Arabidopsis thaliana: one gene and its partner. The protein of the gene in region 1 interacts with the protein of each later gene in a pairwise test. Each region holds a gene or a part of one and is shown on either strand. Other genes may lie near its edges. The genes, in order: PLDALPHA1 and PFA-DSP1.

Region 1 (5,978 bases):
TCCCGATTTTGACAATCTTCAAACTCTAACCCTTGAGCAAACACACGAGTTTGATCGAGATTGGTTGTTTGGTGGAGACGGTGATCATTCACTAGCCATCGTCTATCACATTCTAGATTCGCTCCAAGTCCCTCCTTATTCTGCTATTGTTAACACTCTTGCTGATGAGATTAAGGATTTGAAGAAAGATGGTGCGAAAGACGTGGAGAGGGTACAAGTAAAGATAGGTGTTACTGTCTCGAGGTTTCCCGGTGAAGATGATCACGTAGATGTGCAAGTGCAACTTGCGGTTGCTCCAGCGAACGATGAGGCGGTGGAGATGCACTTGGAGACGCTTGTTGTTGAGAATGAAGGCTATTGTGTGATATGCATGGATAATATCCGAGTTGGGTCAGATGTGGAAGCGGGTCGAATGCCGTGTTCGCATGTGTTTCATCGTACTTGTGGAGAGGAATGGCTTAGGAACAGTGGGATTTGTCCGGTGTGTCGTGCCCTGTTTCCGGCTTAAAACTTTAAAACCCCTTTTGTATTAGTTTTGTGCTATATGAACCCTAGTTTCATGCTTTATCTCTAGATTGTCACTTTCACTTTTCTAATGAAGTATGTTTTACCTAGTTCATTGCTATTTTTGTTTAAACTTTGATGTGAAACACACTAAATAAAAAGAAAAGGATCAGATATAAGATTCATAAGTCCAAAGGTACATAACAACAACAAAACAAGATCACAAAGCTACATTCTCTCACCACGTCATTGTACGAATATAAAAACCAAAGGGGTAAAGAAGTGCATCATCATAACAACCATTTGACTTCTTAATTCTAAAGGTAGACACTCAAGTTTTATTCAAAGCTACAACAGCAGCAAAGCAGAGAGGGAGAGAGAGATCATTACTTGACATGCTTAGTGAGATTAGGTTGTAAGGATTGGAGGCAGGTAGTCTGATTTGGTGCCGAGGATACGGGCCTTTGTGTCCGGGAAGAATTCAAATCCTGGAAGCTCAGTGATGTCGCCTTCGCTGGCTACACCGATCGGGTAGCGGAGCAAGTGACCAGGAAGGTCATGTTCGAGTGACTCACTTGAGTAAAAGTCCCAATACTTGTCAGAAATGCGGTTAACTTTCTCAATGCATTCCAAGCTTGATGGATCGAGGAAGGTTTCATCGAGCATTCCCAGGTGTTCGTACCAGAGTGACATACGAAACCCATGGATCTGGCCACGAGCTGGTTGTCTATGGGACAAGTGATGTGGTTGATAACCTCCCATTGCTATCTCAGAGTCTCTTGCACCGTCCATTGACCTCTGGTTGATGTTAGCAGACCCAATGATAATGTATTCATCGTCAACTGCAAAATGGATTTCATCAAATGAATCAGGCACAACATTTATGTATACTTCTCAAGTTTTTTTCCGTTGAAATGTGAACTTACCGATCATCATTTTGGTGTGGACGTAAATCATGAAACGGCGTGCTTCTTGCGCCCTCATGTAATCAGTGTCGGGGTCTGGTTTCTCAGCAGGCTCATACTCTCCATCTTTCTTGACCTCACGGTTTCCAAGACAGAAGAATGTCAGATAGTTTCTTGGATCTTCCTCAAGACCCTGGGCCCTGAGAGCCTGAATCACATCCTTGTACATCATCTCCATGGTCCTCCTCTGCCAGTCTAATATAGCTTGCACTGATCCACTCTCTGGGAGACCTTCTGGCCACATTGGAACCACAACATAGACCCTGAACTTCTCTCCTTTCTCAATCTTGCTAACTATCTTCAGCGACAACTCTTTTGGGATTAAGTGCAGGGCATTGATGTCCTCAGGAGTAATACCATCGGCTGCCCAAGCAAAAGAACTCCCAAGGAAGTACTGGTTTTCAACGTAGATGAAATCCTTAGCACGTCTGATTGCATGAATGTAAGCATCTTGGATACTCCTATCAATGATGTTATCTTTCCCACTTACAAGCCCGGCTTCCGCAGCAGCTTCAGGCGACTCGGGAAACCCAGCAGCAGCTCCTCCATCAATGGACCTAAACAATTGGACATTCCACACATCGTGGTCCTCTTGGAACATAACAGGAGAAGGGGTGATAATAATATCACTAAGATCTCTCAACTTAACCAGAATGTCTTTACCACCCTGCTTGCTCCATCTCTGCTCGAAGTTGTACATGACATCCCAAGCAATTGGACCTTCAAGACGGGAGTGAATGTCATGCCAAGGCTCCCTTGGACCACCTTTAGTGATAGCAGCACCAGTGAAGTTAGGTTGATGGAAGTCATCATGGTGGACTGTGTCCAATGTCCTGAACAAGGAGTGGAACGGAGTGTCGTATCTTCCATCACAAAGATCAATACCGCCAACAAAACTCACAATTCTCCTCATTTCTGATCCTCCTCTGCTTGGCATCTCGCTGTCCACAACAACGATTTTCTGATGATGCGTGAACATAGTAGAGATCTGCAAACTTTGGACTATGCTACCACCGTCATCCGGGTTACGAGGGCACAGAATACAATGGACATCACTTCCCCTGAAGAAATTCTCGGTCTCTTCATCATGAGTAGCCATGAGCCCATCTTTCTTCAGCACATCAACAGAAGTTCTGTCATCCCAAACAAGCAAAAGAACCCTGACACCTTCACTAGCCTTCTTCTTGAGTAGCTCACCAATGGTCACATCACCTCCAGGCTTAGGCCTCCTCGAGTCCCTCACTAAAGCAATCTCAGCGTAAACAGACCAACCAGTAATGTAGATCAAGTGTTTTGCATTGCTAATAGCATCAAAAATATCCTCCCAACATCTTTGAGGCTCATAGTTCTTCCCTCCAGCGAGAGGAATTCTAGGGACAAAGTTGTCTGGAATATGAGCATCTTGGTACAGAGAAACTTTGCAGCCTTGTCTCTGCGAGAAGAATGTGTATGGCACTCCAGGGAACTTGGCACTTTTGATACCCATGTTCCAGTTACGATCCTCCTCAACATGGAAATATTGAAGCTTGACATGAATCTTTGATCCTCCCTGAATAGGGTTTCTGTCATTATCCAAGATCTCAACCCACTGATCCACTTCCTCGCCGTTAATGACTTGATCAACAGGAATGTAAGCTCTTCCGATAAGGGTAGCTCCAATGGGATTATCATCTTTAACAGTGAAGATGATATCAGAAGCCAAGTGAGCACAGTAAATATGAAACGACTCATACCACTTTGGGTTCTTAGGTTCATTTTTGATCTTCCTGGTTCTCCCAACTCTAGCTTTTTGCAGATCAATCGTCGCATACAACTGTGTTTCTCCTTTACCAACACCAATCGTCTCTTCTACATTTGCCAGAATCTGAAAGTTTCATCAGAAAAATAAAGATCAAACTGTGTATTAGTCCACAGACTAATTTGAACTACAAAATAAGACGTCAGGATTGGCGCAAAAATGATGCAATAACAATGGATCTTATTATACCTTGCCAAGGAAGCCTTGCCTAACACCACCACCATGGAGGGCATCAACTTCATAGATGGTAGCATGTAAAGTCCCGTGCAACAGATGCTGCGCCATTTTTTCACCTTTAGCAATAAGAATTGACCAGAACACAATATTAGTTTCTGAAAAAACTAAAAAAAAAGAAAAGCGAGATCTACGAATCTCAAAGATCTGGTATCAAAATTTTAGAGCAGCTAAATTTTCGCAGTATTGTCCTAAAAACAAGGAACACTAGTTGAATAGTGAAACTAAAGTCACTGATCTAACTCAAAACTAAAGATCGTATCAGTGTAACACTAGAGGACAATAGCAAATGAACCCGATCGTTGATTATCCAAAAAGAAAAAAAAAAAAGTCAGCGAGTTCCACTTATCTCACAAAACAAAGAACCACCTAAATGATCAAACGAGTTTTAATCGCAAAACAAGTAAAGAGAAACATAAAGATAAAATGAATGAGATTCATAGAGATGAAGTAGAGAAATACTAACTTCGAATTATTCCCAGAAACTGAGATCTGATCGGAGAAACTCAATCGTTCGGTGGTCAGAAGAAGAATTCGGGATCTGGTCCGTGATGGAAGCTCTTTAAGAGCTACTTTGTGGAGCTGCTGTAATTTAATTGGAGCGTGTGGGGCCACTTTTTCATTATTTTCTACAGATCTTTGATGATTTAATAGTGACCCAACGTACGAATTGTTATTAGTTTCAGCCCTACACGTTTTTAGTTTCACAATTAGGCCCTAAATAGTTACTCTCAAGAGATTCCTTTCAATTTATAACTTATAATATATAGTTAATGTTACTAGATAACGATATAATTGTGGTTGGATTATGTTATCTCACATCCTAATAGTAATATTTTACGTTACATCTAAAATTATATAATAGAGTGAAAAAGATAAAATGGAAAGTTTAGTGACTAATTGAAAATCTTGAAAAGTTTTAAGAAGGCCGACATAAAAAAAGGAAATAAATATTCAAAGTTGTAATAAAATCCCTGACTTGAGGATAGGGGAGACAAAAAAAAAAAAGAGATATCCAAATCGTGCGCCCGACGTTCTGCATCCAAACGTTACGACATCGTTTCCCAAGCTGAATCCTCACCGTCCATCACAAGAAAACTATATGGTGTACTTTTCTCAAGTAGTACGTGTTCGCATAATGACATGAATTCACTAGCAATAATTTAATTGCTTCATCATTGGATCTCACACATCTTCGCTATAAGATTGGGTAGTTTTTTTTTTCGTTTTTTTTGGGTAAAGAAGAATGTGATAGTTGTATAAAATATTACTCCTCATAAACGGAACGTGGCCACATGGGGATTATACAATGTATTTGCATTCTCTGGTATCTAATAAGTTCTAATGTACTAACCATCAGCAAAACCGTCAATCATAAAAATGCGGTGAAGAACAGATCAGAGGTGTCTCATATATGGGGATCAAAGGGAAAATTAAGACAGTATTGGCAACTCGGCGTAATGCTAAATTGTAACACAATGGTAGGATACAAGGGAGCTTATTTTGGAGCTTATTCCCCTATCTATGTTTATTATTTAGCAATGCTCACGGCAAGGTTTCTGATACGCAGCCACCGCTCACCGGTGACTTGTCTGAAAAATCTGGACTTAAAATAACCCAATTCCTTTGTTTTGCTTCTATATTAGCTTATTTTAGAAAATAGGACTTTTGAATTTTAGTTGACCCAAGGAAAAAATGAAGAAGGGACGTAGAAACTAGAAATTTAGGTGCTATTGATATTTGAATATGGGCCATAATTGGGCCTGGTGATTTAACATTCTGTACACGTATTTAGGCCTGTATCTTGGAATGATTTTTTTTTTTTGTGGTAGGGTAAAACTTGGAATGAAATTTAGGTGCACCTATTGATATTGTCCGACTGTCTGAACTGAATTTGATAAGTAGTACGTGAATCTTTAACTGTTTAGTAGGAAAAAAAAGAAAAAAAATCAAAAGAATATTACTATAATTAAACTACAATAAGTACATAATTAGTTTTTTTTTTTTTCTTATAAGCAAAAAGAAAAAAGCTAAAATAGAAAACCCAAAAGCGAAGCCGAAGAAAAGAAACTAAAAGCGAATCATGAAAGTCAAAAATAGACAGAAAAGATAAGAACATCTCCATCAGTAGTCTCTAGTATGGTTTTTCACTAACTAAAAAATATAAAATAATAATAAAGTAGGAGAGAGAGAAAAGTAAATAATAGGTTACATTTTAATAGGTTAAATTATTATTTTCAGAATAATTATTTAAGTAAATAATAATATTATATGATAATAATTAAAAAACAATATTTTAAGATAATCCACCTAATTTTACCGTTGAAGATGGCCTAAGAAGCAAACACAAGTTTCTTCGGATAGATTATATAAATGTTTTTTGGCTCAACATCTTCTTCAAACTAAAAGTTTGAAAGGAATTACTAATTAGTTATACGATCCGGTTTATCAATCACAACAGATAACCGTCGTCATAT
Region 2 (5,726 bases), on another chromosome or scaffold:
TATGGAGTAATTTATCCAATTAAAGTCCAGTGTGGGACACTAAACATTACAAATTTTATGTCTTTAGCTTAGTTATCATCTGTTTTTTTTTAATTAGAAAAGAGTAGTTTTCTGGTGTGAGTGTTATGTGGAAGACAAATATGTGACGTGGATTCTAATAATGTATTGTCGTGATGTGGTTCTTTTTGCATTATTTCGTTTTGATTATGTAATAGACATATATTTAAATGGTGCGATTATGCACCGAAGAAAAACATTCGTCTCCATTTTTCTTTATACGAAATTTGACCCCAAAAAAAAGGTAAAACACGGCGTCCGTGTTATTATGTAGTATCATGTATGACAGAAATGGCAACTACAGTAGATAGTTTGGACCGAATTTTATTTTCACACAATTAAATAGTTATTTCAAGGCAGTAACAAATTGGTGGAAAAAAAAAAAAAAAAGGCAGTAACAAATATTAAAACCGAATATTGGCTAAAATTATACATTTCAAAACAATATTATGAAATTGTTTAACAAAACAAAATGTGAAAGGAACATAGAAGTAATTAATGTACTCAGATTACGATCCCATAGAACTTAAATAAAGGTGCGTTTATGAATGCCAGATGACTCAGATTAGTGATTGTTCTTCCCACTTAGCAGAGTAATTGCTCTTTGTCCTTTGGAATCTCTCTCTCTCTTTTTATTTCTCTGTGTTTCGCTTGGAATCTATATTTTCGCTATTTCCTGGAATGATGATATATATGTATGTTAGTATGTAGTAGTCAATATTTTTGTATATTGTGAATAAGTGACTTTTTCAAGGTAAATATAGGTCAGAAACTTCAAATTCAAAATATTAAATATTATAATATTGGTGAAAATATATAGTCAAAAAATGATTTTAGGTTCGGTTGATAATTTATTCAATGAGAGTGATTTACCCGAATAAGATGATTGTGTGTGAGCAAAAAGATTCCACAATGATGCCAATTTAAGCTTCAACAAGTGCTTTCCTATTAACAAGAACAATTTATGTAATATCATTTTTTTCGTTTGTTTTGCAAAACTGCAAAGTCATTTTATTTTGTTTACTTTAATAATCCTTGAAAATGTTATAACAGTTATTTCCTCAAATTAGACCATCATACTATTATTATTGTTATTATCAACCGTTGATAAAAATGGTAGTAGCATGTACAACTAAGATAGACCGTTACAAAATTCGTGTATTGTTAATTATTATATAGTTTCCGTATGTTGCTGTTTTCAGCTCAACTTGAGTAAATATAAAATATTAAACTGTTTATTCTAATATTGGATTCTTTTGTGTAGTGGCAACTTATTTTTTTCTAAGCTTTTTTTTTTTACAGATTACGGATTTCAGTATGAAATTGTAGATCCAATCAACTATTTTCACATATGCTAAAAGGTATCTAAAAAGTAAAAACACTTAACAGATTATAAACAAAAAAGCTTTTAAGATAAATGTCACAAATTCTTTAAAAATAAACAAATAAACAGCTATTGACAAACAAAAAATAAAAATAAAAAAGGAGTCCTTGCTGGGTCCATCTCCTTTGCGTTCTTTTTCGTCTGTTGAATTTTGAACAGAGTCACAAGTCTCTCTCCATATAAACCTCCCCAAGGTCGACGCTACGTAACGACCATCTCCATTACTCGACTCTCCTCACCTAAAGATTCAACCTTTTCTCTGTTTCCCAATTCAGAGATGAAGCTTGTGGAGAAGACGACTACTACAGAGCAGGACAATGGAGAAGATTTCTGCCGCACCATCATCGAGGTTTCCGAGGTTAACAGAAACGTGTTTCAGGCTCCGGGCGGTGAAGCTGATCCCTTTCGAGTTGTCTCCGGCGAAGAACTTCACCTAATTCCGCCGCTCAACTTCTCCATGGTCGATAACGGTATATTCCGGTCTGGATTCCCTGATTCAGCTAACTTCTCCTTTCTCCAGACTCTCGGTCTCCGCTCAATCATGTAAAAGCTCCTTCCACATTCATGACATTTTGTATACTATATATCAAACTTTCGAAATTGCTGATTTTAGGTTTTTTCGAATTTGTGAAGATACTTGTGCCCGGAGCCCTACCCAGAGAGCAATCTCCAGTTCCTTAAATCCAATGGAATCAGGCTTTTCCAGTTTGGTATTGAAGGCAACAAGGTAACCATCTTTCTTCTCCTCTCTCTTCATCAAGTCTCCGTTTTTAATTGCTCTGTAATTCTAAACCTTACTTGGATAGTTCACTAGGAGAATTCTCTGAATGGAAAAATCATATCTTGCTGCAGTGTGTTCCTGACTTAGACAACGAGATTTCCTTGCATTTATGGAATTCTAAGCATCAGAAACAGGGTCCCTTAACTAATGGACTTTCGAAAACTTTGGTACACACTACATATATTAACTGGAACACGATACTATTTCTGGAATATATCATAGTTCATTCAATTTGAAGGGTTTTATTTGCTTGATATTTATTGCCTAATTGTTCTTGAAAATCCTGTCTCATTGTTGTTTACTTTAGACTACTAAAACTGTTTCTGTGTTTTCTTTCTCTTGAATTTGATCCTTCATGGGCACTCTGTTCCAAGCCATATTTTATTATTATGAGTTTACCAGAAAAAGAACACATCTTTCTTTATTGTTTTGCCTCTTTGGCTCTTTCCGTCTCTCTTGACCTCCACTGATTTGGTCCCACTCTTTGTTTTTCTGCCCCTTCAGCAACTATTCCCCACTTGTTCTTTCTACTCTCTATTTATAAAATTAGATTATGGACTACGTCAAAATATTTGCTGAGCTACTTGTTGCTAGTGTTGTCAATGATCCCACTACTCAATAGCTTACTTTCTGTTGTTATTGTTTTCTTGGTTCATGTTTATTGAGTGTGCACTTTTTTATACAGATATGATATCTTATGAAATCATACATCAGCGAAAGTGTTTTTGATTGTGTACAAGTAAACCGTTTTTTATGGTAAAAACTTGTAGAAAGCGTGTTGATCGTGAAAGTGTCCATATTAGCTGTAAGGTTTGAAATCTAGATAAGGTTAGGAATTGCTGGGAAAATGATAGATGGTTACGTTGTAAGTCGGTTAATGTTGTTTAATACGTACCTTTAGTTCCTTTCCTTTTCTATGTGTTAGTGGCTCATGTTTGGGCAAATCGTTGGTAAAGTGATAGAATAACCAAAAACTTCACCATAGAGTCTTGAACTTATTACCCTCATGAGTTACCATTCGCCTTTCCTGAAGAGATGGGTATGAATCTAATTTGAGTTGATATGTTTGAAAGAAAATATGTTTGTTCTGGTATGCAGTAGCTATCATTCTCTCCCCCCACAGAATCCACCTTTTCCCTGTCGATTCTACTCCTAGGATAGTCGATTCTTTATGTGGGGAGTCGTTTAGATACTTACTACCATAGTTCCCTAGTTTTGCTTTTACACTAAAGATGAAAATAAAGTGGCTTTCTCTTCTTGGTGTAGTGATTTTATTGGAAGAATCTGGATCTCATTGACTTTTGTTTTTGTTTCTGGACTCAGATTCTTTATAATTAGTGTGACAACTTCGATCTTGATAGGAAACCTTTATCGCTGATATTCTTGGCTTGCTATGCTTTTTTCTTCTCATAGATTCGTCTTTCAATGGGACTTTGTGTTTATTCCGTGTTGTTGTTGTTGTGTGTGGAGATAACTTTTTGATATAAAAAAGTAAAGAATCTTTCTCTCAGTACGCAACCAGTAAAAGGTATCACATTAGACATGCTTCATAACTTGTAGACTTTGTCCTGTTAATGAACCTTTGCATGGTTGTCTCTCTCGACGTTGCTTGTGCATGAACCTTGATTATTAGATTGCTTTATCTTTTCCTAATCTGCTCAATTTAGTAGTGTGATTGATCTTTTGACATATAATCTTACAATTTTAAAAAGACATTTTTTCTTCTTATTTTCAGGAGCCATTTGTGAATATTCCAGACCATAAAATCCGCATGGCACTGAAAGTGCTTCTAGGTAACTATGAATCATATAGAAGCGCTGAAATAAAAGAACACATGTAACCACACTTTTTGTATGCTTTCTAATTCTAACTTGGTTTATTAACAACTCTCCTTTTAAAATCCTCAGATGAGAAAAACCATCCTGTTCTGATTCATTGTAAGCGAGGCAAGGTAAATCATTCACTCCAATCCTAAACATTTCATCTTTTGTCTCCACCACTGAAGAAGAAAATGAGTTTCTAAGTATGAATCTGGAATTTGCAGCATCGGACCGGTTGTCTTGTTGGTTGCTTGAGGAAGCTCCAGAAATGGTGTTTGACATCGATATTCGACGAGTACCAACGATTTGCAGCAGCGAAAGCTAGAGTTTCAGATCAAAGATTCATGGAGATATTCGATGTTTCCAGCTTCAGTCATATTCCAATGTCATTCTCTTGTTCCATCAGGTAAACAGGGGAAGCTAAAATCTTCAGATAAAAAGGAGAGATTAATCATATTAGAGTTCCAGAGGAAACATTCTTCTCTTTCTTTACCTTTCTCTGGAATCAATAATACTATTTCGAGAAAAGAAAAGGTTTTCGTTGTTATAATGACTTCACTCTGTTTTTTTACTGCTCAGTGTAAGCATAAAGGTAGATAATTACGTATATATATAAAGTAAACTATACAGGAGTTTGTTTAGGAATATATGTATTTTCTTGGGTTATCCCGAATGTTGCTTAACGATTATTAGCTCATATATTTCAATTCTTCAGAACATGATTTGTTATTATCGTGTGTAGAGGAAAATGCTACTACCATCAGTGTGTAAATAATTTGTTCAATGTAATGCTAAACCGAAATATATGGACTAATTTGATTTACTGACCAATCATTAACATAACTCTATAACTTCTTTTTTGAATCAGTTACGGAATTAATCATTATTTTTATTAGTTGAAAAAGACATGCTAGATGTGTGAAGAGTTTGTTAAGTCACGAATATGAAACCTAACTAAGGCCAGTACCAATTTTTAGCTATAAGTGAGTGATAGTTGTCCTTATAGGTCACGAATACGAAACACTCTACTGGAGTGTTGTTAATCATTTACTTTAATAAAAAGCATGACACCGATTCTTCAACAACATGCAAAGCGCATTCTTGCTTGCGGCTACAAGAGTTCTTTGTTCCGTTCCTATGCAACCTTATGGTCACCCGAGGCTAGCCAAACTCTGCTTATTCGGGTCAAAGCGTCTTTGCAGCAACATGAGAAACAATTGTACACCAGAGGGCTCATAAGAATCTTCGAGATTCGGATCGATTTTCTCAAAAACGCGAGTTTTTTTTATTTCTTCTAAATCCTGATCTTCAACCTATGTACCAATTTGTGGTTTCTTACATATTATGTGCTCTTGGTTGTGGTATTATTAGGCATCAAGATATATGGGTAAAGAAAAGGTGTGTACTCTGTTTCAGAAAGATTATGCAGCTCGGCTTTATCTGATTGAGACACTGTTGGGTTTAGAAGAAGCAGACAAGTTCTTCAAAAGTATCCCTTCAAACATGATTGATTACTCCACGCTCTTAACCTCTTACGCGAGATCTGACGATGTGAAACCCGACAATGTCACTGCAAACACTGTTTTGAAGGCCGATGTAAAGGCGATAAAGATGTTTATGAGAATGTGGGTTGATGAAGAAGGAATCAAACTGGAGAGAGACAGGATAGTTGAAATGGCAAAGG

What was found.
Region 2: the proteins of PLDALPHA1 (region 1) and PFA-DSP1 interact in a two-hybrid assay, tested with the Arabidopsis thaliana proteins (one large-scale study listed by BioGRID).

Annotation. Positions count from the first base shown.
Region 1 is NC_003074.8:5,328,409-5,334,386, reverse strand, and holds PLDALPHA1 (phospholipase D alpha 1), read right to left. Parts: upstream 4,194-5,978; 5' UTR 3,968-4,193; intron 3,561-3,967; 5' UTR 3,553-3,560; coding exon 3,457-3,552; intron 3,334-3,456; coding exon 1,431-3,333; intron 1,347-1,430; coding exon 913-1,346; 3' UTR 642-912; downstream 1-641. Other genes in the region: AT3G15740 (RING/U-box superfamily protein), read left to right, coding at 1-508. UniProt on the Arabidopsis thaliana protein: Hydrolyzes glycerol-phospholipids at the terminal phosphodiesteric bond to generate phosphatidic acids (PA).
Region 2 is NC_003070.9:1,423,942-1,429,667, forward strand, and holds PFA-DSP1 (Phosphotyrosine protein phosphatases superfamily protein), read left to right. Parts: upstream 1-1,597; 5' UTR 1,598-1,718; coding exon 1,719-1,984; intron 1,985-2,074; coding exon 2,075-2,168; intron 2,169-2,293; coding exon 2,294-2,389; coding exon of another isoform or gene 2,390-2,458; exon of another isoform or gene 2,459-3,957; coding exon 3,958-4,015; intron 4,016-4,129; coding exon 4,130-4,173; intron 4,174-4,266; coding exon 4,267-4,452; 3' UTR 4,453-4,928; downstream 4,929-5,726. Other genes in the region: AT1G05005 (PPR containing protein), read left to right, coding at 5,107-5,320, 5,472-5,726. UniProt on the Arabidopsis thaliana protein: Cleaves the beta-phosphate at the 5-position of soluble inositol pyrophosphates.